Xenopus tropicalis: one gene and its partners. Each later gene encodes a partner of the first gene's protein in a complex. Links are inferred from orthologs where the notes say so. Each region holds a gene or a part of one and is shown in the gene's direction. Other genes may lie near its edges.

Region 1 (3,500 bases):
AATAATTACTTCAAATTTGAGGAGAATTATTTTCTTCAACTGGCCGGGACCGCAATGGGGTCTAATGTAGCGCCCACTTATGCCAACATTTTTATGCATTGGTATGAGACTCGAAACATTTATAGTCACCCACTTTTCCGTAAACATGGTGGTTACTTTAGGCGCTACATAGACGATCTGTTTTTTCTTTGGTATGGACCGGATGAGGAACTTTTGTCATTTGTCCAAGATTTAAATACTGTACCCTCAAGTATAAGGTTTACGGTACACAGGGATAAACACAGCATTGATTTTTTGGACGTAACTGTGTGCAAAGATTTAATAGACAACCAGCTCCACACTAGGTTATTTCAGAAACCCACGGACAGGAATTCGCTATTGCACTACACTAGCAGCCATCCACGCCATCTTCTGGATTCACTGCCCAAATCGCAGATGTTGAGGGTTGTTAGGGTAACAAGTAAGCAAGAGGAAAGGCGCAAGGCATTGGATGACATGGCAACAAGATTCCTAGAAAGGGGGTACCCTGCTACACTGATTGGTAACACTAAGACATGGGCTGAAACATTAGATCGAGAGACAACCTTGAGACATAAATTGGATTGCGATAATGATACAGATGATGATGTTTTATGTTATATGACCACCTATGATGTGCATACCCCGCTGATTAAAAAATCTATATTACAGCATTGGCCTATAGTTAAAACTGATGCAGAACTGACAGCAATTAACCGCAAACGGATCCGGTTTGGATACAAAAGGAATAAGAATCTAAAGGAACTTTTGTCCCCTGCGGACCCGGTAAGCAAGTATTTTACGCAGGCTCATATAAACAGAACGGGAGTATTTAAGTGCGGTAATTGCGTTATGTGTAACACTTTAATAACGGGGGACACTTTCTACCATCCACACACTGGTAAGTCCTACACCATTAGACACAGGCTTACGTGCGTTTCACGCAATGTGGTGTATATTATTAAATGCCCATGTGGGCTAATATACTGCGGGAAAACCTGCAGGCAGTTGAAAGAAAGGATAAATATGCACCGGGCCACTATTAGGGCCGCTTTGGACCCTAAACCTGTGAAGAAGGAGGGCAAACAGGACATATCTAAACAACCAGTGGCACAACATTGGTTACATGCTAGGCATCCAGTATCATCATTCAAGTGTATGCCAATTGACTGTATTTCAGGCTCACAAAGAGGTGGGGACATTGACCGCATCTTGTTACAAAGGGAAGCGTTTTGGACGTATGAATTGGACTGTGTGGCTCCTAGGGGTCTGAATAGCTCTCTGTCCTTGAACTGTTTTTTGTGAATACTTCTGTATAAATTTGGTTTATTATGATCAAGTTGATATATTCTCATATATGTATATATGGTCATTAACTTTGTGATTTTTTTGGTTGTTCCATCTTGCTATAAGATAATATAATTTGTGACTAGGTAATATTATTGCTTTAGAGAGATTCTAAATATAAATGGGGGCCCCCATTTATCAGGAAAATAATTTTCCTGGATCAGTTAGCGTAGCGTATTCATGTACATTTGATTTTATGGATATGATGGTTTTAATTATGTATTGATAACACTGTGAGATATATAGTAGGGTACACCAATAATGTATTATTGGGGGGTCACCTTGAAAAATTTATGATGCACATAGATAATTTGCACATTATGCGATGTAAAGTAATATATCACACTAAATAGGAGACAGGTTGTTTCACTATATCACTTTATTAATGTTTTATGATATTTTAAACATCATGTTCTGTATTTATTCTTAATATTTCAACAATTACTATTTATTGCACAGATCACTTTGCAGCATTGACTGCTCACTTTACTGCAATAGTCACTTTATGGTTGATGTCATTTCCTGTTTGTTTGGTCACTATGGGTATAAATGGGTCATATGGTTGGAAAGCATGGTTGCCTTGAGAAAGGTCCCGACGGGGACCGAAACGTAACGTTGGCTGTTCATGTATTTTTCAATATATAATTGATTGTTTACAATAGATCCGGTGTTGCTGGTCTTTTCTTCAATATATATATATATATATATATATATTCAACCTTAATTTTTTACACAGCCTTTAATAGTGGTCTGTGTCACAAAGGTTAAAATTTCATTTGTTTATGCATTTTAAAGGGCAAGGAACTGTTCCTTTAGGGCTCTGACACACGGGGAGATTAGACGTTCCGCAACAAATCTCCCTGGTCACGGGCGACCAATCTCCCCGAAATGCCATCCCACCGGCTAGAATGTAAATCGGCAGTGGGATGGCAGACGCGGCGGCGCAATTTGCCGAAGTTGCCTTGAGAGGAAATCGGGCCGCCGCGTATGCCATCCCATTGGCGATTTACATTCTAGCCAGTGGAATGGCCTTTCGGGGAGATTTGTCGCAGTGCGATTAATCTCCCTGTGTGTCACGGCCCTTAAGCTTTTTGATTGAAACTGTGAACTGGATGAACTGCTTTCAGGATAGATGTGTACATGAGTTAATACTTTGGCCTTTAGTTATGATGAGCTTTTTATATTTAGCTTTGATGACCATGATCCAGCAGTCATTCATGAAAATGCTGCTCAGTCAGAAGTCCTGGTTCCCATTCGATTAGACATGGAAATTGATGGGCAGAAGCTTCGAGATGCCTTTACGTGGAACATGAATGGTATGGCATAAAGCTCTTTAAAAAAAATCCTTTTTGAAGGATTATATAAATGTGCATGGAACATGTATGTATGTATGTATAGCTTTACTTATAAAGTGCTACAAGGATACACAGGGCTGTACAATCTTACAGTATACAGAATTACACACGGAGGACAAGCGTCATAATAAATACAATAAATAAGTATAAATACAGAGATGCCTTGTGGTATGAGACACAGTAGGAAGCAGGCCCTGCCCTATAGAGCTTACAGTCTAAGTCAGCGGTTCTCAACCTGGGGGTCGCGACCCCTTTGGGGGTCGAATGACCCTTTCACAGGGGTCGCGACAGTCCCGGTTTTTACAGCGCGTCCCGCTGTCCCGGATTGTTCAATGAATGTCCCGCATTACGGAAATGCAGAACATTCATTAAACAATCCAGGCCAGCGGGACGCGCTGGCTGCAGCGGAGCGCTTGTCTCTTCATGCGGCTCCTTATTCTTATTCGGCTCCTCGTACGGCAGCGACAGTTCCTTTTATAAGGTTGCGCCCGTGCGTATGCGTGACGTCACACGTACGCACGGGCGCAACCTTATAAAAGGTCCTGTCGCCGCCGTACGAGGAGCCGAATAAGGAGCGGGGAATTTTCTATTGGAGGTACTCTCTATGGGGGCAATTGGGGGGCTCTGTGTATGGGGGGGCACTGTGTATGGGGGGCACTGTGTATGGGGGGGCACTGTATGGGGGGCACTTTCTATGGGGCAATTGAGGGCATGGTCTAAGGGGTCAATTGGGGGCACTATCTATGGGGGGGTACTGTTTATGGGGGCAAATGAGGCACT
Region 2 (3,500 bases), on another chromosome or scaffold:
CTCTTTACTGACTGCTTTATGAATCCCTCAAAACTGGTTAATAAGACCCATACTTATTATTCTTTTCAAAGTAATTATTTCCTTTTAAAGTAATTAATCTGAAAGATAAAAGTTTTATTGACAAGACCTCTAGAAAAAAAAAATGGTATGCTTATTGGATATTTCATCCTGGGGTTTAAGGGGAACTGCCGTTAAAATGAATGATAATGACATCCCTGACATTTTCCATTTTAGCGCTGAATTTTATCAGCAAGATGTGGGCTCAGCTTAATATAAGCTGACGGGAGGGAGAAGAGCCGAAGCTAATTTAATGAAATTCTGTATTGAGATGAAATATTTCCAATAGAAGCTGTCAGATCCTTTCTGTGCCATTTAATGAAGTTCAGGAAGAAGGGCCTATCTGTTTCTGTTATAATAAGATGCAGAAAGGCCATTTAAAGCAGTTGGAGACAGGGAACTGTTAAACTACAGCGGCTGTTTTCTGACCATATTGGTGCTTCTAACAAAACCTGTTCTCTGTTGGGGAACTTGGTTTGAGTGGACAAGCATAAGAAATACAATATTTGCAGTGCTCTTAGTTAATTATATATATTAAATTATAAGTGACTATTTATTTGGTAGATCTGGATGAGGCGCTTGTTTAAATACCAGAAAGATTTACTAGTGGGGAAGTGTCATTGTTAATTGAGCTTAACTTTTTAAGGCGGTATAAAAGGGATAGTGAAACATTGCAGTTTTAACAGCAGCATGGGAATAAGCCTATATCAACCTTATCACCCTGTTTAAAGTGGAACATCTTTCTGTCCCTTTAAATTCATGGGGATGCAGAATAACAAGCTACCTGAGCCAGACCGCAGCTGTGAAGGATCAGAGGGTAAATATGGAGGCAATACATTGCACACAATGATCCACTATTGCTTTAAAATAGACAAAAATAATTGTGCGTTTTTTTTTCTTTTTAAATTGATAGAATGACCCACTGGTATGTTAAAAAGGTATTAAGGTCATTAACACTAGAAAGGCCCTAAAAGCATTTATATACAGTATTCACTTAGTTTGTGCTCAGTAATTGTGTCTCCATTTCTAGAAACCATGATATATGTGTGTTTCATAATACCTGTACTTGTTCTGGTAGGGCTTTTGGGGCAGCTCATAAGTATTTATTATCTAAGTTTCCATTCAATACAATTGACCTGGCAGTGCTTTGTTTAGAGAACAGATAAAAGATGTCTAAACAAAGCAGAGCTCAAAACAAATGTGCTGAAATAAACCAGGTCTATGTATCGGGAGAAATAATGCTATGGTAATTTCATTATTTTAATGTTACTGGCCTTTTAAATAACAGGTTCTTGTGTGGATGAAAACGATTATTCTATGACTTCATACACTTACACGGGATTGTAATAGTAATTCTTAAGTTTGACAATAGCAACCAGTCAGTCTGTTTCAAACTGACAGCCAGTAAATGCTAGTGGCTGATTTGTTGCTGTGTGTTATCTCTCTCTAAAGCTGGCCTACATGGGCAGATCCGCTTGCCTGGCGATGTCGGCAAGCGAGCGGATCTTCACCCGATATCCCCACCTACAGGTGGCGATATCGGGGAGGCATGTAGGTGAATTCGATCGTTCGGCCCTGGGGCAGTTTGGCCCAATGGGGCAGTCGGTTTGGGGACCGCATCAACGAGCCGATTTGGTCCCCGATCCGACTGGATTTTCTAACCTGGCCGATCGATATCTGGCCAATTTCAGGCCAGATATCGGTCGGCCAGGCCCCTCGGTTCTGCCCCTACACGGGCCAATAAGCTGCCGAATCGGTCCAAGGATCCAATATCGGCAGCTATAATCGACCCGTGTATGGGGACCCTTACACTGCAGGTTGCTGTATAGTATATTTACAGAATGAGTACTTTTTAAGGGGTGTTTGTTTTTTTTTTGCAGGCGGCACTTTCTAAATATGATGCTACCAAACAGAAGAGAAAGTTCTCATCTTTTTTTAAGTCACTAGTTATTGAGCTGGATAAAGACCTGTATGGGCCGGATAACCACCTGGTGGAGGTGAGCACTGTGAACTTGCTGAAAGCCAGCAAAATATTTAGCAAACAAGGCTGCTTTACCATTGAATAAGACACAGTATGTTTGATAACCATTGATTGTGATCAATACAAGGAGTGTTGCCATTTTAAGGAGAAGCTTTTGGTAAAAACTCCATCATTGCTATAAAATATTTTCATTTAGTCTAGCTTTTTTTTTGACCATTTTAATTAAAGAAAGGCAAAGGAAGTACAGCCTTTGGGTTATCTAAACTTTAAAGTTCTTGTTTTGGATTGCCCCTGTGCAAACCAGCACATGCTCCACTGACCAGTCACAGGGGTTTTTCTCCCCCACTGCTTTCAGCAATCGAAGAGAAAGGCAGTGCCTGAATCACACATACTGCTGGAAGGTGTACCTCCACTCAGTAAAGTGCATGCATGGCTTGTTTCCTATCTGTTACCTTGGGAACTATGGACAGGTGGATAGGGATTTTTGTTTTTTTGTATGCAGCGGTTTTCGTCCTTGGTGGTGTCATCAGCAGCCAAAATAGCCTTTGATATTGGCCTTATAGAGCTTTTCTTTTACAGATCAAAAATATGAGTGAGCATTGAAATGAATAGGAAATCAGTCAATTTTTCTTTGCATTTTGTGACATTTTAAACATTGTAAACTACCAATATATTGATTTTGACAGTCTTTACATTATTTGTTTGTATAGAGTTACACTAAGTTACTGTAATATTTTCATTCTTAGTGGCACAGAACTCCTACAACACAGGAGACTGATGGTTTTCAGGTGAAGCGCCCTGGGGATATGAACGTGCGCTGCACCGTGTTACTGATGCTTGACTATCAGGTGTGTTCTTTGTGTGTACTATTTGAAGAATATTTCTGTGAATGCAGCGATGAAAGACAAATTCCTATCACAGACTGTGTGTTTGAGTTCTGTGTGTGTTTTTTAACTGTAGCCACCACAATTTAAACTTGATCCCCGACTGGCTCGCCTCCTTGGGATTCACACTCAGACTCGTCCAGTCATCATTCAAGCTCTTTGGCAGTACATTAAGACTCACAAACTTCAAGACCCTCATGAACGGGAGTTTATTATATGTGACAAGTATCTGCAGCAGGTAAGTGCCTATTTCCAATGAAATACCACTAATACAAAAAGTAAACAAAGCCCTGCTTTAAACCGTTTACGCTCGAAAAGCCTAATATCTGATTGTAACTGTAAGTTTGTGCCCTACTTGTTTAAGTGTTTCTGTTGTTCCCATTATGTTCTCCACATACAGCATACATAGTTCCATTGTATTGAAAAAAGACCAGAGTCCATCAAGTTCAACCCTTCCAATTAAACCCAGCACACACAACCTATACTGACCTATCTATACACTCACAGTTGTTAATTATGCAAATACTGCAATACTAGGAAAAGTTCTCCAGTTCTTTAGTGTATGTTTGGCATGTGGT
Region 3 (4,052 bases), on another chromosome or scaffold:
TAGGGTTGGGGTAGCAGGGTGTGCACATATAGAAAAGGGCAGGGGTGGCACAGGTACAGAGGGGAAGGGCAAAGGGAGTGGAACTGGTAGGAAAAGGCAGAGTGGGCACAAGTAGAGTAGTGCTGACAGAGAAGGTGGCACAGGTAGGACAGGAAGGCAGCGAGGGTGAGTACAGGTAAGGGAGGGCAGGCAGAGAGAGTGAGTGCAGGTAAGAGAGGGCAGGTAGAGAGAGTGAGTGCAGGTAAGAGAGGGCAGGTAGAGAGAGTGAGTGCAGGTAAGAGAGGGCAGGTAGAGTTAGTGCAGGTAAGAGAGGGTGGGTACAGGTGAGAGAGGACAGGCAGAGAGAGTGTGGCTAAGAGAGGGTGGGTAAAGGTGAGAGAGGGCAGGCAGAGACAGTAAGAGAGGGCAGGCAGAGAGAATGAGTGTGGCTAAGAGAGGGTGGGTACAGGTGAGAGAGGGCAGGCAGAGACAGTAAGAGAGGGTGGATACAGGTGAGAGAGGGCAGGCAGAGAGAGGGAGTGCGGGTAAGAGAGGGTGGGTACAGGTGAGAGAGGGTGGGTACAAGTAAGAGAGGGCAGGCAGAGACAGTTAGTGCAGGTGAGAGAGGGCAGGCAGAGAGAGGGAGTGCGGGTAAGAGAGGGTGGGTACAGGTAAGAGAGGGCAGGCAGAGAGAGGGAGTGCGGGTAAGAGAGGGTGGATACAGGTGAGAGAGGGCAGGCAGAGACAGTTAGTGCAGGTAAGAGAGGGTGGATACAGGTGAGAGAGGGCAGGCAGAGACAGTTAGTGCAGGTAAGAGAGGGTGGATACAGGTGAGAGAGGGCAGGCAGAGAGAGGGAGTGCAGGTAAGAGAGGGTGGGTACAAGTAAGAGAGGGCAGGCAAGGAGAGTGAGCACGGGTAAGAGGGGGTGGGTACAGGTAGAGGAGGGCTGGCAAAGACGAAAGAGAAAGGGCAGATGACAAGGGGAGGAGGGGAAGAGAAACAGAGGGAGGAGAGACACAGGAGGAGGGGAGGGGAGGGAAGGCAGTGGGAGGGCAGAGATGAGAAAAGGAGGTTTGTTGCAAAACAGCTCTCTGGAAGTGATGACACCAACAGAAAAACCTTCCAATAACTTCCTATGAGCCGCCCGACAGCAGCAGGAAGGGGAAAGTGCTGAGCGCTCGGTTTGCGCCCCGGGAAACTACAGCCGGAGGATCGCAGCGCAGGGATTGCGCATTGAGAGCAGCTGTACGGGCACAATTATACGGAGAGAGGCTGAACCCCGCTGGGTTTCACTGGGGAATCCGGTTAGTAGTGCTGGACTAGCTGTAGGATAGCGGCTTTGTGCTGTACTTAGCGCCGGGCTTACACGCGTGTTACTGCTACGGGCACACAGGGCTACAGTCTGATAGGCATAGTACTGATACTAACACGAACTCTATAAGCTTGTATAACTGAATAGGGCAACACGTAGAGGATAAATATATACACACAATTTATGTATAAAATGTGCGTGTGTGTATATATATATATATATATATATATATATCAATCCAAATGGTGTCCGCACTCCAAGGCTCAATATTCTGCGGGGTGCATAGCCAAAATTATGTATATACAGAAAATAATCATCTGTGGCCAGCACACCCTTCAATGTTTTATCAAAAATTTATTGAAGATATATCGTTAAAATTGTTTAAAAGTCAAAGTGCAAACAAACTAGCCAACACACACTTTGCGGGGCTGCACAAGTAGCCAACACACACAGCCAAGACTGCACAACTAGCCAACACATGCAGTTCAAGGCTGTGCAACTAGCCAACGCACACTTTGCGGGGCTGCGCAACTAGCCAACGCACGCAGTGCGGGGCTGCGCAACTAGCCAATGCACGCAGTGCGGGGCTGCGCAACTAGCCAACGCACGCAGTGCGGGGCTGCGCAACTAGCCAACGCACGCAGTGCGGGGCTGCGCAACTAGCCAACGCACACAGTGCGGGGCTGCGCAACTAGCCAACGCACGCAGTGCAGGGCTGCGCAACTAGCCAACGCACGCAGTGCAGGGCTGCATAATTAGGAATTCTACATTATATGATTCATTAGGAAGGAGGTTGTTCACACAGAGTATATCCCTCTTGTATATACACAGCATTCCTTCACCTGTGCACAGTAGTGCTGTCTGCTGTTTAACACTCCATGACCTCTCGGGGAGGATTACCTCTACCATCTGGGAGCCCAATGAACATGATGCGGGGACCAAACCCTGGAGCATACAGACCCCCAATGGGGCCTTACCAGGTAACCATTTCCAATAGCAATGTATTGTGCATTTCCATCTTCCCTGTGCTAGATCACTTCATTTAGAATTTAGAACATTGTTTATCCAGTTTTAATTGGGCAGAGTCAGTAGGTCCAAGTTGCTGGGTCTGTTAATAGTGCCTGACTATCACATGCCCGTTTGTAGCATGTGACTAGCAGAATCCAATGGCATGAAAATGATTTACGCCTGAAGCATGATTGTGTTTTATATGCCATAGCTGCATCCAAAGTCAGGCACTAGTGCACAGAACGCTTGCATCTATAGAATTGCACATTGACTGTGCTACTGGCAAGCTGCTACTTCTGGTTTCCAAATCAGACTAAATGCGACTAAATGTTGAGCTGACTGATTTGTGACTTGTGTAGCACACCAGGCCCTTGATCTAATATTTCTAGAGCATTTTTCGGATGCAATTGTGATCTGAAGCAGTCATGTTCAGTTACAGCTCAGGTGACCTATTGAATTGCATCGCAGTTGTACAATCCAAAGGTAAAGTCGTTGGTGTAAATAAAGACTGTGGATGTTTCACTTTCATCCAGTATCTTTCTAAATTCTTTGTGTAATTGTGAAAAATGAGACATAACATCTTCATGTGACAATCAGTGCACATCATTATGGTCCCAGGTAGGCAGGAGGAGAGTATAGATAAGGCCTTGATGGTTGCTAAGCAGGGCCTAGATAATCTAGGATGGCTTGTGTAACCATTCCAAGAATAATATAATAATAGTAATCCTACATTTTATACAATGGTGCATATCATGGTAAACAACTGATCAGTTGATTTAAATCTACTTCACTTTATAATTGTCTTTTCACTGCATGTCACTGTGGTGTGTTCTGGTATCGTTCACTCCTTTTTAATTTTTCATTTTCATACATATTGGTATAGTTCACCAGCAAATGGCATGGTCCGAGTTTGCTGTTGATCAGTGTGGTACAGTTTGGTATAGTTCATCACTGGTTGTTTGGAGTATGGTTGAACTGGTATCATTCACTGCCTTTCAGTGTTGTGCATGCTGGTATAGATCACTTTAGGATGGTCTATTCTGGTAGAGTTCACTGCCTAGGAATGTGGTATGTTCAGGTCTAGTTCAACACCAGTCAGTGTGGTACAACACAGTTAAGTTCACTCTCTGTCAGTGAGGTACATGCAAGTATAGTTCATCACTGGCACCTGATACCATTGGTAGATGTGGTGCATTCTTGTACAGTTCACCATTGGTAGATGTGGTGCATTCTAGTATAGTTCACCATTGGTAGTGTGGTGCATTCTAGTATAGTTCACCATTGGTAGTGTGGTGCATTCTAGTATAGTTCACCATTGGTAGTGTGGTGCATTCTAGTATAGTTCACCATTGGTAGTGTGGGGCATTCTAGAACATGTCCGCACTTCCAAATGTGGTGCATTCTAGAACAGGTCAGCACTGGCAGATGTGGGGCATTCTAGAACATGTCCGCACTTCCAAATGTGGTGCATTCTAGAACAGGTCAGCACTGGCAGATGTGAGGCATTCTAGAACATGTCAGCACTTCCAAATGTGGTGCACTCTAGAACAGTTCACAATTGGTAGATGCGGTGCATTGTAGTACAGGTCACCACTGGCAGATGTGGGGCATTCTACTGACCTCTACTTTTAATTTTAAATTGAATGGCCTTTATGATTGTCAGGTTTTCTCAGTCTCATTTAATTTCAGCCCTTTTAATCTAATTTTAAGATAAAGATCCATAGTGACCTATTAATATGAGGTAATGAGGAC
Region 4 (3,986 bases), on another chromosome or scaffold:
AGTGGCGCAATGGTTAGCTCTTTTGACTTTGGGGTCCTAGATTCAGTACCTAGAACTCAAATTGACCACAGAGGGCATAATTGTTATAGGTACTTAGAGCTTTATGCTACACTTGGGAAGGGACTGGTGTGAATGATATATAATCTTTGCCAGGCGCATAAGAATGTGTTAGCACTATACAAAGAATAACAATAATTATAATGTGGCAGTGTGAAGGGGGGCTTATTATATGAGGAATATAAAAGAAGCAGCTGAATACAGGTGCTTGACATAGTACTAAAGTACTCACTTTATGTGGAGTTTACAAGAAAGTGGAGCGCACACCATATCTGTTTGGCAAGGCCACGGAAATGGGGACCTGCTGCATGATCTGTGCCAGCAATGGGGACTATGGGAGCCCTGCTGATGAAGGACACACTTTTCCCTTACCCTTCCATGGTGACTGGTTCTCCTTTCTTTCCTGCAGGTCCCTGAATTGCAGTGGGCACACTATCTTCCTCAAGGCTCCAATCTTCCCTGCAGCGTACTTGTATCTTATTACTGGACCTGCAATCAAACAAATTTAGGATATAACTGATATTAACAACTTCAGTGTTTTCCTTTATCAGTTTTAAGTCCATTCATCCCCTCCCAATTCTCTCTCCACCGCCTGATCTCTATTATTCTGCTCTCCCCTCACCTTCTCCCCCCCTTCCCCCCAACCCACTTGCTGCATTTTTTTCTGCTGGCTTGTTAACAAAAGGCCCTTATGGGGCCTCACCAGCAATGACTAGGCTCGTCCTATTTTTATCTCAGTTTTCCTCACAACCTGACTGCCTCTCCCACCTAACTCATAAACTTGCCTGTCTCTCCCTTTTTGACAATCCCTTCCCGCGCCCCCCATCCAACACACAAAGTCTCCCCTTCCCATTGCCCCCAGCTCCCCCTCCTCCCTTTACAGTACCTTAACCTTCTCCACCAATCATTTTCTTCTTCAGCCTCCCAGACTTGTCCCTCGCAATGAACTCTGGGCAACGTAGTGCCATTTTCAATTCATATTCATACTGGCGCGGCTCTCAAAACTACAACTCCCAGTCTTACCCTCAACACGGCCTTTGATTGGCCATTGCGTGCAGAATGAATGAAATTGTACAGTATTGTGATATTAGAGGGGCTGCAGTGTTCCTGCCTAATACCCAGCTGCACCATGAACACAGCCCTCCACAACCCCTTAAAATCGTGAGTATACTGGACTTAAAGATAGTTACAGCTGTGTATACTGCATTTACACTGTCTGAGACTGTATATCTTTCAGATGTATACATGTGTGTTTAGCATTATTACAACATGGACATATCTACATGAATACTATGCATGAAAGAGTGTGTCTGCCTGCCAATTTGTGTATTATAGTGTGTGTGTGTATGTAATACATTTATTTGAGATTATATATATATCTATATATATATAGATATATGTGTGTGTGTGTGTTTGTTCTGTACATTTGCATGTAGATTGTTATATATATTAACTCTTGTGGGTGCTATATATATATTAAATGTCAAAAAGTGGAATCAACCATCTATTCTGCACGTATACTATGCATTATAGAATTTCACAGTGAGGTCACATCCAGCTGCTTTTAGAGGAGGGTCTTACATCTGGATTAGACTGTATCCTTAGGGTATGTCTGAGGTCTAGACTGCGACTGCGATCGTTTGCCTATTATCTATCCATGTATTTAGCTACCTATTCATCCATCTGTCTTTGCCTATCGTTCCTTTGGGAAAGGGAATTTATTTGTGATTACCCATAGTTCACTTTTCTACAGCATTTTCATATAAAATGTACAGCAGTGTTTTGCTGATTTTAATAGTATTTGGTTGCACCTGAGTAATATGAATTTTGAAAGCTAAATTTAGGGTATTGTCTTAAAAATAAAATCCCTGTAACTTATGTTAACACTATTAATGCATTTTATGCATAATATTTATTCAAAAATATGTAATATGCTTAAATATGTGTTTTAAGCCATACATAGCACCATGCAAGCAGAGCAAGTGAGCTGAGTGCCTGGGAACCTTCTGTCCTTAATTCCTAGTGCACATCTGGGCAGACTGTATGCACGTGATAAAGTAGCCATTAACCCAGTCAGTGCCTGAAGTAATCAGACTGTAATAATAAGCAAATAATGGATACTGCATCACTCTGCATACTGTTTGACACTAAATAATTATTTGTAGTTTTGCAGCCATGAGCATATTTAAAGCTGCAGAAGATTATAGAAGAACTGCATTTTGTCAGATATGAGTAAAATATGGGTTACTGCTGTCACCTAAAATCCTATATTTCTCCCAGTGGTTAAGCTGGGGACATTTCACTTTAACTCATTCAGCTCTGACTGAATACAACTGTGAGAGGCAGTTCTCGTTCTTTCTGGTACTGTGTGCAGTTATCAGTTTAACCTAATTTGATTTGACACATGCACTGCAAAATATAGTATGACTGCTCTCTGTAAAATGCATTATATGCATGCTTTTTATCAAAAATATTTGCAGATTGTGACTGTAGCTTTGTAAGCAAATTGGCAAGGCTTCTCTCTCAAGCAATGCACTGGACATGAAGACTTGATAAGGAGAAAGCCTTTATTGAGTGAAAATCTAATGTTACAGATTATCTTATTGGTAAATTAAATTTTTGGTAAATTAAAATACAGTTACTGTTACTAATCTTGCTTTCACAAGGACTTACATATATGGCGCTGTTGTATTAGGCTGTATGCCACACTCACATATATTATAAGATCCGTGTATACCTGCTTTAATTTGACAATTCTAATTTCTTTAGTATATTTGTATATTAAGGAGACATTGTTTTAATCATTTTTTAAAGAATAATAAGTTTTATCACTTATATTAGTAAGTAAAACAAAGGAAATTTAATTTATTAGAGGCACTGTGTCCAAAAGTTACTGCTTGGTAAATTTAAGCTAGAGTTTAAATCATTTTTAGGATAATTTGGCCACCAGAGGACATGGTTTCAGTGGACTCTGTGGTTCATATGTAACTGGTTGCATTGGTGAGAAACATTAAGGCAGCTTTTACTGCCTTATACAAATAAACATAATGATGCGCAGATAAATAAGGCCATGGTAAATACCTTATATGAATTTATAGAAATATAAATTGAATATAGGCCCTTTTACACTACACTAGAACTTAGTAAAGCACAAATTATGCAGTGTAAGTCCCTGTGTGTATATATATATATATATATATATATATATATATATATATATATATATATATACAGAGATCTGCATGTGCACCCAAGCAACCCTGATATGTTTTTTCTTTATGTGTCCTAACATCATTTCTGTCATATTGTTGATATTTAGGTACTATATATACTTTAATATATATTTAATATGTACTATATATATACTTTAATAATGAATGCTCCTTATATATATTTGTTGTGTGCTCAGCCTGGTGTAGTAAAGGGGCAGTATTATGGCAGAAAATAATTGAACGTGCATTATATTTTGACTGTTATATTGGTACACACTTGCCTATCCACTCAAGCTATCATTCCTGATCTTATAAAGTTGCCATTGAAACCAGCATTGCCAGTTTCCAAGCTGTCTGGGTCCTGTCTGTGTCTCAGCTCCAATTATATGTGTGCAGACATCTCATGACAGTTCTGCCTGACTGGGTGAACCCAGCCTGTTACATATTCATATCTGTGGGGAATTCATATATATTGTATCTGTGTGCATAATAAGCATATATGCTCCCATGTATCCATAAATGTACATTTTCTGTATACATGCACATGTATTGCTAAGAAAATACCTCTTCATAATAGATTGTTATACAGTACTATAAAATAATTATGTCATGCTTTGTGAATATTAATGATGACCACTGCAGAACTGAAGACTTACCTACTGTAAGATATAACTAGAAAAATATCCTATCTGAACAAGGCAATGATACATTTTGGAA
Region 5 (3,500 bases), on another chromosome or scaffold:
ACTTTCTGGATAACCGCTCCAATGTCTGTATTATAAAGGAGAGATAAATCTCAATCTAAGAATAGGTAGAATTTGTGGGTCACCTGTTTAAAAGCAAGCATCTTATTGGTTGCTATGGGTTACTGCTTCTGGGCAAACTTAGTGCTTTTTATTACATATGGGGGTTAAAGTCCTGTCAGTTAGAGCTCTAAGCAGTCCCCAATAGCCTCAGTTGTCAGAGGGGCACATGAGTCAGTAGCTGGGAGTTGCAGCGCATATTTTTGTCGCCAGTAGAATGCCGGGCACTCGCCCTGAGTAAATCTAACAGCTGGCACATTTTGACTCGGGAATGTTGTGATTACACAGGTATAATTTCTAGGCGTTATCTTTATTCAAGCAGAGCGTGTTCCTGCGTGTTACCAAACACTTTAATTGCAGCGTCCTTAATAGTCCTTGTTTGTCTGACTATAACTCCGTGTCAGCAACGTGATCCGGCTCAGTATGGAACCTAGCAATGTTCCTCACTGCCTTCGTTTTATTTACCCTTTATATATTGAATAGAAATCTAAATAGGGCTGTTCTGCCCCCAATAAGGGGTAATTATATCTTAGTTGGGATCAAGTACAGGTACTGTTTTATTATTACAGAGAAAAGGGAATCATTTAACCATGAAATAAACCCAATAGGGCTGTTCTGCCCCAATAAGGGGTAATTATATCTTAGTTGGGATCAAGTACAGGTACTGTTTTATTATTACAGAGAAAAGGGAATCATTTAACCATGAAATAAACCCAATAGGGCTGTTCTGCCCCAATAAGGGGTAATTATATCTTAGTTGGGATCAAGTACAGGTACTGTTTTATTATTACAGAGAAAAGGGAATCATTTAACCATGAAATAAACCCCAATAGGGCTGTTCTGCCCCCAATAAGGGGTAATTATATCTTAGTTGGGATCAAGTACAGGTACTGTTTTATTATTACAGAGAAAAGGGAATCATTTAACCATGAAATAAACCCAATAGGGCTGTTCTGCCCCCAATAAGGGGTAATTATATCTTAGTTGGGATCAAGTACAGGTACTGTTTTATTATTACAGAGAAAAGGGAATCATTTAACCATTAAATAAACCCAATAGGGCTGTTCTGCCCCCAATAAGGGGTAATTATATCTTAGTTGGGATCAAGTACAGGTACTGTTTTATTATTACAGAGAAAATGGAATCATTTAACCATTAAATAAACCCAATAGGGCTGTTCTGCCCCCAATAAGGGGTAATTATATCTTAGTTGGGATCAAGTACAGGTACTGTTTTATTATTACAGAGAAAAGGGAATCATTTAACCATGAAATAAACCCAATAGGGCTGTTCTGCCCCCAATAAGGGGTAATTATATCTTAGTTGGGATCAAGTACAGGTACTGTTTTATTGGAAATCATTTAAAAAAAAATTAGAATTATTTGATTATAGTGGAGCCTTTCTGTAATTCAGAGCTTCCTGAACAATGGGTTTCCAGATGATAGAATGTATTTTGTTTGTACCAGCTATGGAGGAACTAGGGAGGGGCCGGGGTCATATATATGCCCCCAATCATTACAGACCAAACACTTTGATGTGTATTTATCAGAGCACATCTCTCTCTCTGGTTTTTAGGGTGAGCGCTGCCTTTTAATGAGAATCTTTCCATCTGTCTTTCAAACCACTGTAGTTGCTAGGGTAAGCACTACCCTAGTGACGGCTAACTGAGCTGGGAGCTTTGGACCCATAGCCTTTTGGGCTGAACCATTTCTCACTAACATTCCCCTGCAGCTTCAGACCCTGAACTTCTCCCTTACTGTCCCCCCCAGATTATGACGATGGTTTCTCCATGAAGCACAGCGCCGCTGCCCGTTTCCAGAGGAACCACCGGCTCATCAGTGAAATTCTCAGCGAGAGCGTGGTGCCCGACGTCCGCTCCGTGGTCACGACCGCTCGAATGCAGGTTCTGAAAAGACAAGTTCAGTCTCTCATGGTGCACCAGGTAAGGAAATTACATTTCTATTGGTTTCACTGCAGTTTGTTTGATTTGGCCTTTAATATCAGGGGAAGCAGTTTTGCATTACGTGCCTTTGGTGCTAAATGAAGGTGAATGCATTTAGTGCTGAACAGGTGGGGCCCCCCACTGTCAGTACTGCTGAACAGATGGGGGGGCCCCTACTTTCAGTACTGCTGAACAGATGGGGGGCCCCTACTTTCAGTACTGCTGAACAGATGGGGCCCCCTACTTTCAGTACTGCTGAACAGATGGGGCCCCCTACTTTCAGTACTGCTGAACAGATGGGTACTGCTGAACAGATGGGCCCTACTTTGTACTTTCAGCTGGCTGCTGGGGCCCCTACAGTACTGCCAGATGGGGCCCCTACTTTCAGTACTGCTGAACATGGGCCCCTACTTTCATACTGCTGACAGACAGGGCCCCCTACTTTCAGTATGATGGGGCCCCCTACTTTCAGTACAGATGGGCCCCCTACTTTCACTGCTGAACAGATGGGCCCCCTACTTTCAGTACTACTTTCAGTACTGCTGAACAGATGGGGCCCCTACTTCAGTACTGCTGAACAGATGGGGCCCCCCTCAGTACTGCTGGACAGATGCCCCCTACTTTCATACTGCTGGGGGCCCTACTTTCAGTACTGCTAACAGAGGGGGCCCCTACTTCAGTACTGCTGACAGATGGGGGCCCCCTACTTTCAGTACTGCTGAACAGATGGGGCCCCCTACTTTCAGTACTGCTGAACAGATGGGGGCCCCTACTTTCAGTACTGCTGAACAGATGGGGCCCCCTACTTTCAGTACTGCTGAGCAGATGGGGCCCCCTACTTTCAGTACTGCTGAACAGATGGGGCCCCCTACTTTCAGTACTGCCGAACAGATGGGGCCCCCTACTTTCAGTACTGCTGAGCAGATGGGGGCCCCTACTTTCAGTACTGCTGAGCAGATGGGGGCCCCCTACTTTCAGTACTGCTGAGCAGATGGGGGCCCCCTACTTTCAGTACTGCTGAGCAGATGGGGTGCCCCTACTTTCAGTACTGCTGAGCAGATGGGGTGCCCCTACTTTCAGTACTGCTGAGCAGATGGGGGGCCCCTACTTTAGAACCTTTGGGTGTAGAAGGGCTCTAATTCCAGGTGTTACATTAGGCATGCCCTTTCTTTTATTAGTAAACCTGTCTCTCCACTCTGTGTCACAACTAGAAACAGGGCAGAAGCGAGCCGCTCCCTTGGGTGTAGTCTGCGTGCACATAATTAACCCAAAGCCCATTGCTCCAAAATAAGCAACTCATTTCAAGATGAGAACACTCCTGTGAGTTTGTTTCCACAGTCCCAGTTACCAGCCCGTGTGTCCCTTTGTCAGAGGGCAAATAAACTGCCGCAGCAATTGCAAACATCTGGACAAAACAAAGACTCCAATAAAACTAGGTTTTTAGTATATCCTTATTAATTTCAGAAATATCTTGATAAATAAATAAATATACATTTAGAAA
Region 6 (3,500 bases), on another chromosome or scaffold:
TTCGTACGAACAATAAAAGCATTGTCAAGACATTTACAACTACAGAAATTATTGTGGTTACTTCAAATTTATACCAAATCACCTTCCAAGGCCAGAAAAAATGCATCTTAGTAAATGTGCCCCTTGGTGTCTACCTCCAAAGTTCAGTTCAAAGAGCCTAATGTATATAATTCTCTAATCATTCTCTGTATGTTTAAGGAATGTTGGCACATCAACTGTTTTGTTCCTACTATATTTACCTTTTTGATAAGATTTTGTTAAATGGCAAGACAGAGATAGTATCCAACACCATACACACCTCTCGCTATGTAGCACATATACCTTTTATTTAGATAATAAGCTTACAGCTAATGTCGCACATGGTGGTCCCTCCACCATCCTATTTCCACCAACAAGTGTTCTGGCCAAAAACCACTGAGCACAGAAGATGTAGCTGGCTTTCCATTAAGGGGCTTGGGTGCATTTCTCTGCTGGCAGTGAAACCACCATGTCTGACATTAGCTTAATGCAAATACAGATAAAATGTCATTTCATTTACACACTTTGATTTGGTGCTACATTTATCCGGGAGCCTGTTTTGAGGATTATAAGTTTTGAATGAAAATATCCACTAGTTGGTGTGTGCAGATGGAATAGGCCAATGTCCTACACAAATACATTTACATTCATTGTCAATAAAAAAAAGTGATTTTCACTTACTGTTTATAACTGAGAACATTTGATTGTAAACATATGCTTTAATCATTATGACAATAATGCTGTAACCACATTGTGTGCTATTCAATAAAGATGTGTTGAAATACAAAAAAAAAAAAAAAAAGTGATTTTACCTGCCACTCAGCAGGAACCCTGCAAGTGCGGTGAAGTATTGTGAATACTATAAATGGTGCTTTTGCCTCTGACGGTATAATCTGCATGTTCCTCCTAAGGAAAAGAAGATTTTTTTTATCCTCCTTTGACTATAGTTACATAGTTACATAGGGTTGAAAAAAGACCAGTGTCCATCAAGTTCAACCCATCCAAGTAAACCCAGCACACCCAACCCACACCTACCAATCTATACACTCACATACATAAACTATAAATACAACCACTAATACTAACTGTAGATATTCACATTATAAACTGTTTCTAGAACTTACTTAGAAAATTACTTAAAAAATTAAGACTCTGAACATGCAGAACCTTCTATGAATGAAATATGTTTCATAAAGCAGTCGTAAAGGCCAAGGTAGATGTGTGATATTATCCTGGATTTCCGACACTTCTCTTAAATCTATTTAGTGGTGTTTATGGCTGAGTTTAAAATGAAATACAGAACCTGTTTTTTACCAGTTGAAGGCCTCAGCCTACTTAAAGCTGTGCATATATAAGGAAATGGGTAAAGGGTAACTAATCAGATCATAGGTAATAAAGGTTTTGAAATGTTCCAAACATTAGCCTTACCAAAACGGCAATCTTTGTGAGACTGTGTATTTCATGGCAACCTGTGCTGTATTTAATGAGGCCGCGTTGCAGAGGGTTATAGGAACCATTGTGTTAAAGTGTACCCCTTCATATTATTCTTTGTTGGGCGTAAGTAATTGTGATTTTCCACCACTGACATTTTAAGCTACAGATCTTCAAAAATAAGATATTTTAGATTGTATCTGATAAAAGAATGGAGCAATATTTTGTAAATATCACCCTTATTGCATCCTATGACTGATTTTGACAAGTAATTCAAAACTCTTTCCTTTGTATCTAAGCCACCATGTGCCATGAGTCTATGCCATTCTATTTCTGCCAACATGGAGGTACACACAGATGGGGCGGTCATCACACTCAATACAACTCACTTAAGCACTAATGACAGCAGGATAGGCTATAAAAACTAAAATACAAAAAGCTAATTTACAAAAAGTGTTAAATTTTTTGCCTATTATTCACCTACATTCCTGGCATGGTCTTTAAATTGCCCCTGCTGGTGTAAGGTGCAAATCATTAAACCCCATTCTGAAGGTACAAAGATGTGCCCTTGTCTGTGATTGGCAGTTTGGAGGGGGGGGGGGGGCTTGTGTGTCACTTTGCAGGCTCCTTACTTGTACTTATACAAGTGCAAGGAGTGTCAGTGGGTGTAATGTATCTGGAATAAGTACAGATTCCTTTTCTACCTGGTACACTACCCTGTATGAATTGCACTAGATGCATTAACAAAAATGAGGAGTAGAAAAAAAGGAAGAGTCACTTAGGGGCAGAATTATACACACTTTAGCATGCCTATGGCACATTAATTCAAAATTTTGTGTTATGTTATTACAACGGCTGTGTGCTTCCAAAAATCATCCTTATAGCTAATTCTCCACTTTTTTTTTTTTTTTTAGATTGCTAGCATCGGAATGTCAGTGAAAACGTATACGGACCTAAAATTTTTGCCCTTTTAATCAGAAAAGTTAGAGAAGTGTAGATTAAAATGTATTGCATTCTCTCTAAGCAAAGTGATCATGAATCTATTCAGATGTGTTATAAACAATCAAGATGATATTAATCCCGGCCAAATGAGCTAGAGATTTTAGTTGTTACCATATTAATATTGATACAGAAAGCAAGCAATATAATTATTGTATTTAATTACAGATGTTGACTTTCCTCTGAGGAAGGACAATGTTCTGGCAGAAGGAACGACACTGGAAGCCTTGCTACGAGGTGAAGGAATTGAGAAGAAAGATGTTCGAGATGAAGAAAGTCTACAAGAGATTCAGGTACATTAGCACACACATGCCACATGAAGGAACATGACAACAGTCAGTTAAACCATTACCACTGACTCTATTTGAGTGAGTAGCATGTATGCAGTGCTTAACAGGCAGCAGCTCCCATATGTAATAAGAGTCACAAAGTTTGTCTTGGTGCTGCAGGGTTGGACTGGGCCAGGAAAAAACCTGGTGGGCCCCACTGGCCCATACCTGATCCAAAGCATTGGCACTCCTCCACTGACCTCCCTCCCCCTATTGCGGGAAAGTATAAAGTTTGTGCGCTCAGGGGGTTTGGGTGGTCAGTCGGCGGGGACCCCTGGGGTGGCAACCACAGAAGGCCCCCCACACCCTAGTCCAATGCTGTAGTGCTGTAACCCAGAGCAATCAATAAGATGTTTGGTTTTCAACAGGTGACCTGTAAATGCTACCTGCTGATTACTTGCCATAGGTGACAAGACCTGTTGCAAACTTTGCACCTTTTATTACATGACCTGTTAGAGCTTTTCACCAAATAAACACAGCTTACATTGGGGTCACTGGAAAAATGAAATACACCTATTTAGGTGATTGGGGCAATGATTTCCTCTGGAAACTAAAGCTGGCCATGCACCTTACAATTTCAATCTTTCCCGCACCCATGTTTGGCCGCCTTCAAAGGTGCCCGACAATAAATTTCCATCCTGCCTAATTGACGAGGCGACCAATATCCAAAGCTTTTACCAATATTAGTCGCCTTGTCTACCACCATAAACACACCACATATGT
Region 7 (4,057 bases), on another chromosome or scaffold:
TAAAGGACAGTCTATAGACCACTACAGTTGTAGGACTTTTGGCTTCAGGGTAGGGGATAAATAGGACTCCCCTAGACCTGATGAAGAGGGCCTAAGACACCTGCCCCTTCAGGCCTCCTCGCTGGGGGGGCATTCATTCTTTCCATTTTAAAGGAGGGTCTAAATTTGCTGACCCTTGCATTCTTTTGTTTTTTTTTTGCACCTGGGTGAAAAAGCATGTTCTTCAGGCTTCAAAAAACATATGAGTGAGATTGGCAGGGAAGGTCATAGTCATAGTAAACTTAGACTTTGCTGATAAACTTGGTCTTTGCTGATATGAGGGTTGGTTACTTGGGGAGCTCACATTCCAGTTACTGCATGGGGCTCCAAATGTTTTACTTTAGATTAGTTTAGATTTTTTTTCCTTACATACGTTGCATTTTATTCTCAGGGGGACGGATGATCTTCGACAGTATCAGCTTAACCAATAAATACGTTTATGAGTACCAGAGGTCATTGTAGAGCTGTAAACTGTAAAGTTAAATAACAAATGGTTGACCTGCATAGGAAATGGAAGTATGGACAAAGAGCAGTATCGCTGACTCAGAGCAGGGAAGGCGATTTAAAAGTGTTTATATAAGGAAATATGTGCTATAATGATACTTTTCTTTCCCTTACAACACAGCCATACATGAAGAAATAACTAGGCACTATCACAATATGCTGGCGCTAGAGACAAGAAGTGCAATCGAGTCACTGTATTCATGGATTGTACGCAACACAATGCAGTGCGTCACTGTAACGTTACAAAGCTTACTGTCTCGGCAGGCTGCAGAAATCCTAACGAACTGCATTTGGTCCTGACATTTCTGCAGACATAAACGTGCAGACTATCTGCTTTGCAAAGCCATGTTTTAAGAGAGTAAATCATTTCAGGCCAATAAAGAATATAAAAAGAAAGAGTTCTGCACCGCGCCCTTTATTATACAGCAATTAATGGAAAGGATAAGGCGTGGTATATCTAAGTGTAGATTTAATGAAACATATATATGTATATTGATATCTATGTATGTACGTATCTGTGTATATACGTATCCGCATCCTAGCTAGTAGGTGTAACTGCCTCACTCTACGCGCCCCCTTCGCCCGCAGTTCCTACAGCCAATCAGCTTCCCAGTTCCTGGAACGCTCCTTATATGGTGCAGCCGGCTGGGGCGCGCAGCATAAAACCGGCGCCCTAGCCCGACAACTGCTCAGTGACCCGCCCGCACAGAAACAGGACAGTGTGTGTGTCGTACTCTCAGGCAAGTAGCGCCGAGCCTGCTATTGTTGTGCTTTTCCTCTGCTATTTCCTGCTTCTATTCGCCTATTTTTCTCTATATATTATTAGAATAAGCATGATTTGGTTCTAATTGGCTATGTTTTTCATAATGTGCTTGAAATAGTTGGTAGCTTAATGTAGCGTTATTTACTTGAAGGTAAGACTTGTTAGTAGACAAGCGTGAAGCCTGGTTCTGGAATTGTGCTAAAGTTCAGTTCCTTATATGCTTAATTAGATCTTAATTGATAAAGGACACTGGAAGTTGTAGGTTGTACATACTGGAGAGCTGGGGAACCATTTTTCTGTTACAGCAGGTTTAACTTGTAAGTTGCATTTAAAAATAGGGTTTTGTTTTTTTTTTGTATCGTTTCCTCTTCTGTAAACTGAGCCCCCAATAGCAGCGCCGCTTGGGGATGTGCGATTGGGCGGTTCCCTGCCGATGTTAGTGTGAGGCTGCACACAAAGCTACATATTGTGTATAAGTGTGTGATGCAATCTGTGTCGGAACAGCCTTTTGCTGTCTAAAATATATTGGCGGTAGTTCTCTCCCGCTTCGGTTTAGACTTTCCATATGCATGTATATCCGTAACTAGAATACAAAAGCGCAAGTTACATCTTATATATTTATTTTGTCCTTGCACTGGTAAAAACGGAGTCACACCTGCAGTATGTGATTCTGTCCTGTAGTGTTGCCTTCATGAAACATTGGGAGTGGTAGTCGGTTGGTTCGATTGCCTAATACCAGCAGTGACTTGTTTCTTTGCCACACCTTCACTATCCATGGCTGGATGGGAGGGGTGCTTGTGTAAATCTTTGCTGTTGCCTTATTTGGTAATACAGAAAATAAATCGATTTCCCTTTGTCTAAATCTGTACAGAAATGGTGCAAACCCCTGCGCCCTCTTGTGACAGACCTTATGAAATGCAAGTAATGGGCAGGAAGCGTCCTTGTGGTATATACCAGCGCTCATAATTTGGGTGGATAATTATCTCAATTTTATTTATTTTTTAAATTTCAGATTACAATGGACGACGATATTGCTGCACTGGTCGTTGACAATGGTTCTGGTATGTGCAAAGCCGGCTTTGCAGGTGATGATGCACCCCGTGCTGTTTTCCCATCCATTGTTGGTCGCCCAAGACATCAGGTATGCCCTTTTCATGCCTTTTTCATTTCATGTCTAAATAAAACCTAGAAATAAAACTAGTAAAGCACCTCTAACAAATCAGTGTGTTGTCCCAAGGAGGTAAAACATTTTTTTTTTTTTTTTATGTATTTAACTGTTAAAGGTGAAACTAATCTGGGGGCAAATAAAACTGCAATTCTGCATGGGTTATAGGTATGTTGGTAACAATATATTTGCCATTGAGTGTTTTTAAACCATACACGTAAGGATAGTTTCCAAAAAGTGTTGCATAAGATGATGCAATTTTTTTTATTTTTTTTTTTTTTTTTACTCTTTCAAATAAACACTGCAGGCAGGAATAATCACATAAATAGCTGTGCCTAGGGCACCCCCCAACTCTTGTGCCCTAGGCTTGTGTCGGTTATTCCTTTAAGCTGGTTTTGGGCACTTCTCGGCAAGGCTGAAACTAGGAGTAGGCATATTTAAAATAAACTCTTTATACTGTCCACACAAACCCTGTTTATTGACTTATGCTGTGTAAGTGCTAAAGCCAGTTACATTTTCCAACCCTGCATGAAAAGAATTTCTTTTCAGAGTGTAATGTGGTTTAATTTAAATGGAAAAATATTTTAATTAAGTGCAGGTTAAGTGTGTGTATATAGATATTTAATATGATATATATATTGTACTTTGCACACTACATTTCCATATTCTTTGCAAATTGCCTACTTCTGTTTATTTGTGAAATACACAGGGGCGTGGTTAACATAGCAAATGTTCTTGCATACTCTTGTTTCCTGTAAGCACAAGATGACAGGAAGTATTACGAAATTAGAGGGCCCTGCCCAAAAGAGCTTTTACTCTAGAATTTCCTCTTAAAGTCTGCATTATGTGAGGTCCATGAAAATCCACTTTATTCATTCCATTGTCTGGCTAGTATTGAATTAAGGCATGCTTTTCATTTACTAAATTACTTAATTTAGTCCAAATTGTCTTACGCTTTATTTTAGGGTGTCATGGTTGGAATGGGACAGAAAGATAGCTACGTAGGAGACGAAGCTCAAAGCAAAAGAGGTATTCTTACACTCAAATATCCTATTGAGCATGGCATTGTCACTAACTGGGATGATATGGAGAAGATCTGGCATCATACCTTCTACAATGAACTCAGAGTGGCCCCAGAGGAACACCCAGTGCTGCTGACAGAAGCACCCTTGAATCCCAAAGCTAACCGGGAGAAAATGACGCAGGTATGTTACCTGTTTTCTGGTGTGAGGGTTTGGGTTGTGGGTTTTGTTTTGTGTTTTTTGTTTTTTAATTATATAATTGCTATTCCTTACAGGGCTGTCCTGGCCTCAAAGTTTACTGGAATCTCAAAGGTTTTTTTTCAGTATTTGCCTGTTTTACATCAAGGGTAGAATACTAACAATGTTAGCGTTGTGTGAAAAGTGCTGAATGATGGCTTGTTTTTCAAAGTTCACTTTGCTTGTGTTTTTCCTCACATTGGCCCTGCCTAAATTTGTGTTGTGTGCAGCAAAATCAAATGCTGTTCTGAAACTACACATGCATGAGTTTTGGATGCCTTTATGCAGGTAATGTGCTAATTGCCTTTTCAACCATTACAGATCATG

Evidence for each region.
Region 2: smarcb1 (region 1) and smarcd1 share a complex: the UniProt entries of both Homo sapiens proteins name them as parts of the BAF complex. The link is inferred for Xenopus tropicalis from reciprocal best matches to the Homo sapiens genes SMARCB1 and SMARCD1.
Region 3: smarcb1 (region 1) and smarcd2 share a complex: the UniProt entries of both Homo sapiens proteins name them as parts of the BAF complex. The link is inferred for Xenopus tropicalis from reciprocal best matches to the Homo sapiens genes SMARCB1 and SMARCD2.
Region 4: smarcb1 (region 1) and dpf1 share a complex: the UniProt entries of both Homo sapiens proteins name them as parts of the neuron-specific chromatin remodeling complex. The link is inferred for Xenopus tropicalis from reciprocal best matches to the Homo sapiens genes SMARCB1 and DPF1.
Region 5: smarcb1 (region 1) and smarce1 share a complex: the UniProt entries of both Homo sapiens proteins name them as parts of the BAF complex. The link is inferred for Xenopus tropicalis from reciprocal best matches to the Homo sapiens genes SMARCB1 and SMARCE1.
Region 6: smarcb1 (region 1) and dpf3 share a complex: the UniProt entries of both Homo sapiens proteins name them as parts of the BAF complex. The link is inferred for Xenopus tropicalis from reciprocal best matches to the Homo sapiens genes SMARCB1 and DPF3.
Region 7: smarcb1 (region 1) and actb share a complex: the UniProt entries of both Homo sapiens proteins name them as parts of the BAF complex. The link is inferred for Xenopus tropicalis from reciprocal best matches to the Homo sapiens genes SMARCB1 and ACTB.

What each region holds. Positions count from the first base shown.
Region 1 is NC_030677.2:153,157,578-153,161,077, reverse strand, and holds part of smarcb1 (SWI/SNF-related matrix-associated actin-dependent regulator of chromatin subfamily B member 1), read left to right. Parts: intron 1-2,553; coding exon 2,554-2,681; intron 2,682-3,500.
Region 2 is NC_030678.2:148,808,472-148,811,971, forward strand, and holds part of smarcd1 (SWI/SNF-related matrix-associated actin-dependent regulator of chromatin subfamily D member 1), read left to right. Parts: intron 1-1,937; coding exon 1,938-2,054; intron 2,055-2,784; coding exon 2,785-2,886; intron 2,887-2,998; coding exon 2,999-3,160; intron 3,161-3,500. UniProt on the Homo sapiens protein: Involved in transcriptional activation and repression of select genes by chromatin remodeling (alteration of DNA-nucleosome topology).
Region 3 is NC_030686.2:15,739,913-15,743,964, reverse strand, and holds the start of smarcd2 (SWI/SNF-related matrix-associated actin-dependent regulator of chromatin subfamily D member 2), read left to right. Parts: upstream 1-1,252; 5' UTR 1,253-1,284; intron 1,285-2,123; 5' UTR 2,124-2,170; coding exon 2,171-2,272; intron 2,273-4,052. UniProt on the Homo sapiens protein: Involved in transcriptional activation and repression of select genes by chromatin remodeling (alteration of DNA-nucleosome topology).
Region 4 is NC_030684.2:77,399,072-77,403,057, forward strand, and holds the start of dpf1 (zinc finger protein neuro-d4), read left to right. Parts: upstream 1-1,186; coding exon 1,187-1,218; intron 1,219-3,986. UniProt on the Homo sapiens protein: May have an important role in developing neurons by participating in regulation of cell survival, possibly as a neurospecific transcription factor. Belongs to the neuron-specific chromatin remodeling complex (nBAF complex).
Region 5 is NC_030686.2:8,354,895-8,358,394, forward strand, and holds part of smarce1 (SWI/SNF-related matrix-associated actin-dependent regulator of chromatin subfamily E member 1), read left to right. Parts: intron 1-1,826; coding exon 1,827-1,999; intron 2,000-3,500. UniProt on the Homo sapiens protein: Involved in transcriptional activation and repression of select genes by chromatin remodeling (alteration of DNA-nucleosome topology).
Region 6 is NC_030684.2:106,457,046-106,460,545, forward strand, and holds part of dpf3 (zinc finger protein DPF3), read left to right. Parts: intron 1-471; exon of another isoform or gene 472-924; intron 925-2,614; exon of another isoform or gene 2,615-2,616; coding exon 2,617-2,741; intron 2,742-3,500. UniProt on the Homo sapiens protein: Belongs to the neuron-specific chromatin remodeling complex (nBAF complex).
Region 7 is NC_030685.2:46,572,744-46,576,800, reverse strand, and holds the start of actb (actin, cytoplasmic 1), read left to right. Parts: upstream 1-1,257; 5' UTR 1,258-1,283; intron 1,284-2,318; 5' UTR 2,319-2,324; coding exon 2,325-2,447; intron 2,448-3,436; coding exon 3,437-3,676; intron 3,677-4,051; coding exon 4,052-4,057. UniProt on the Homo sapiens protein: Actin is a highly conserved protein that polymerizes to produce filaments that form cross-linked networks in the cytoplasm of cells.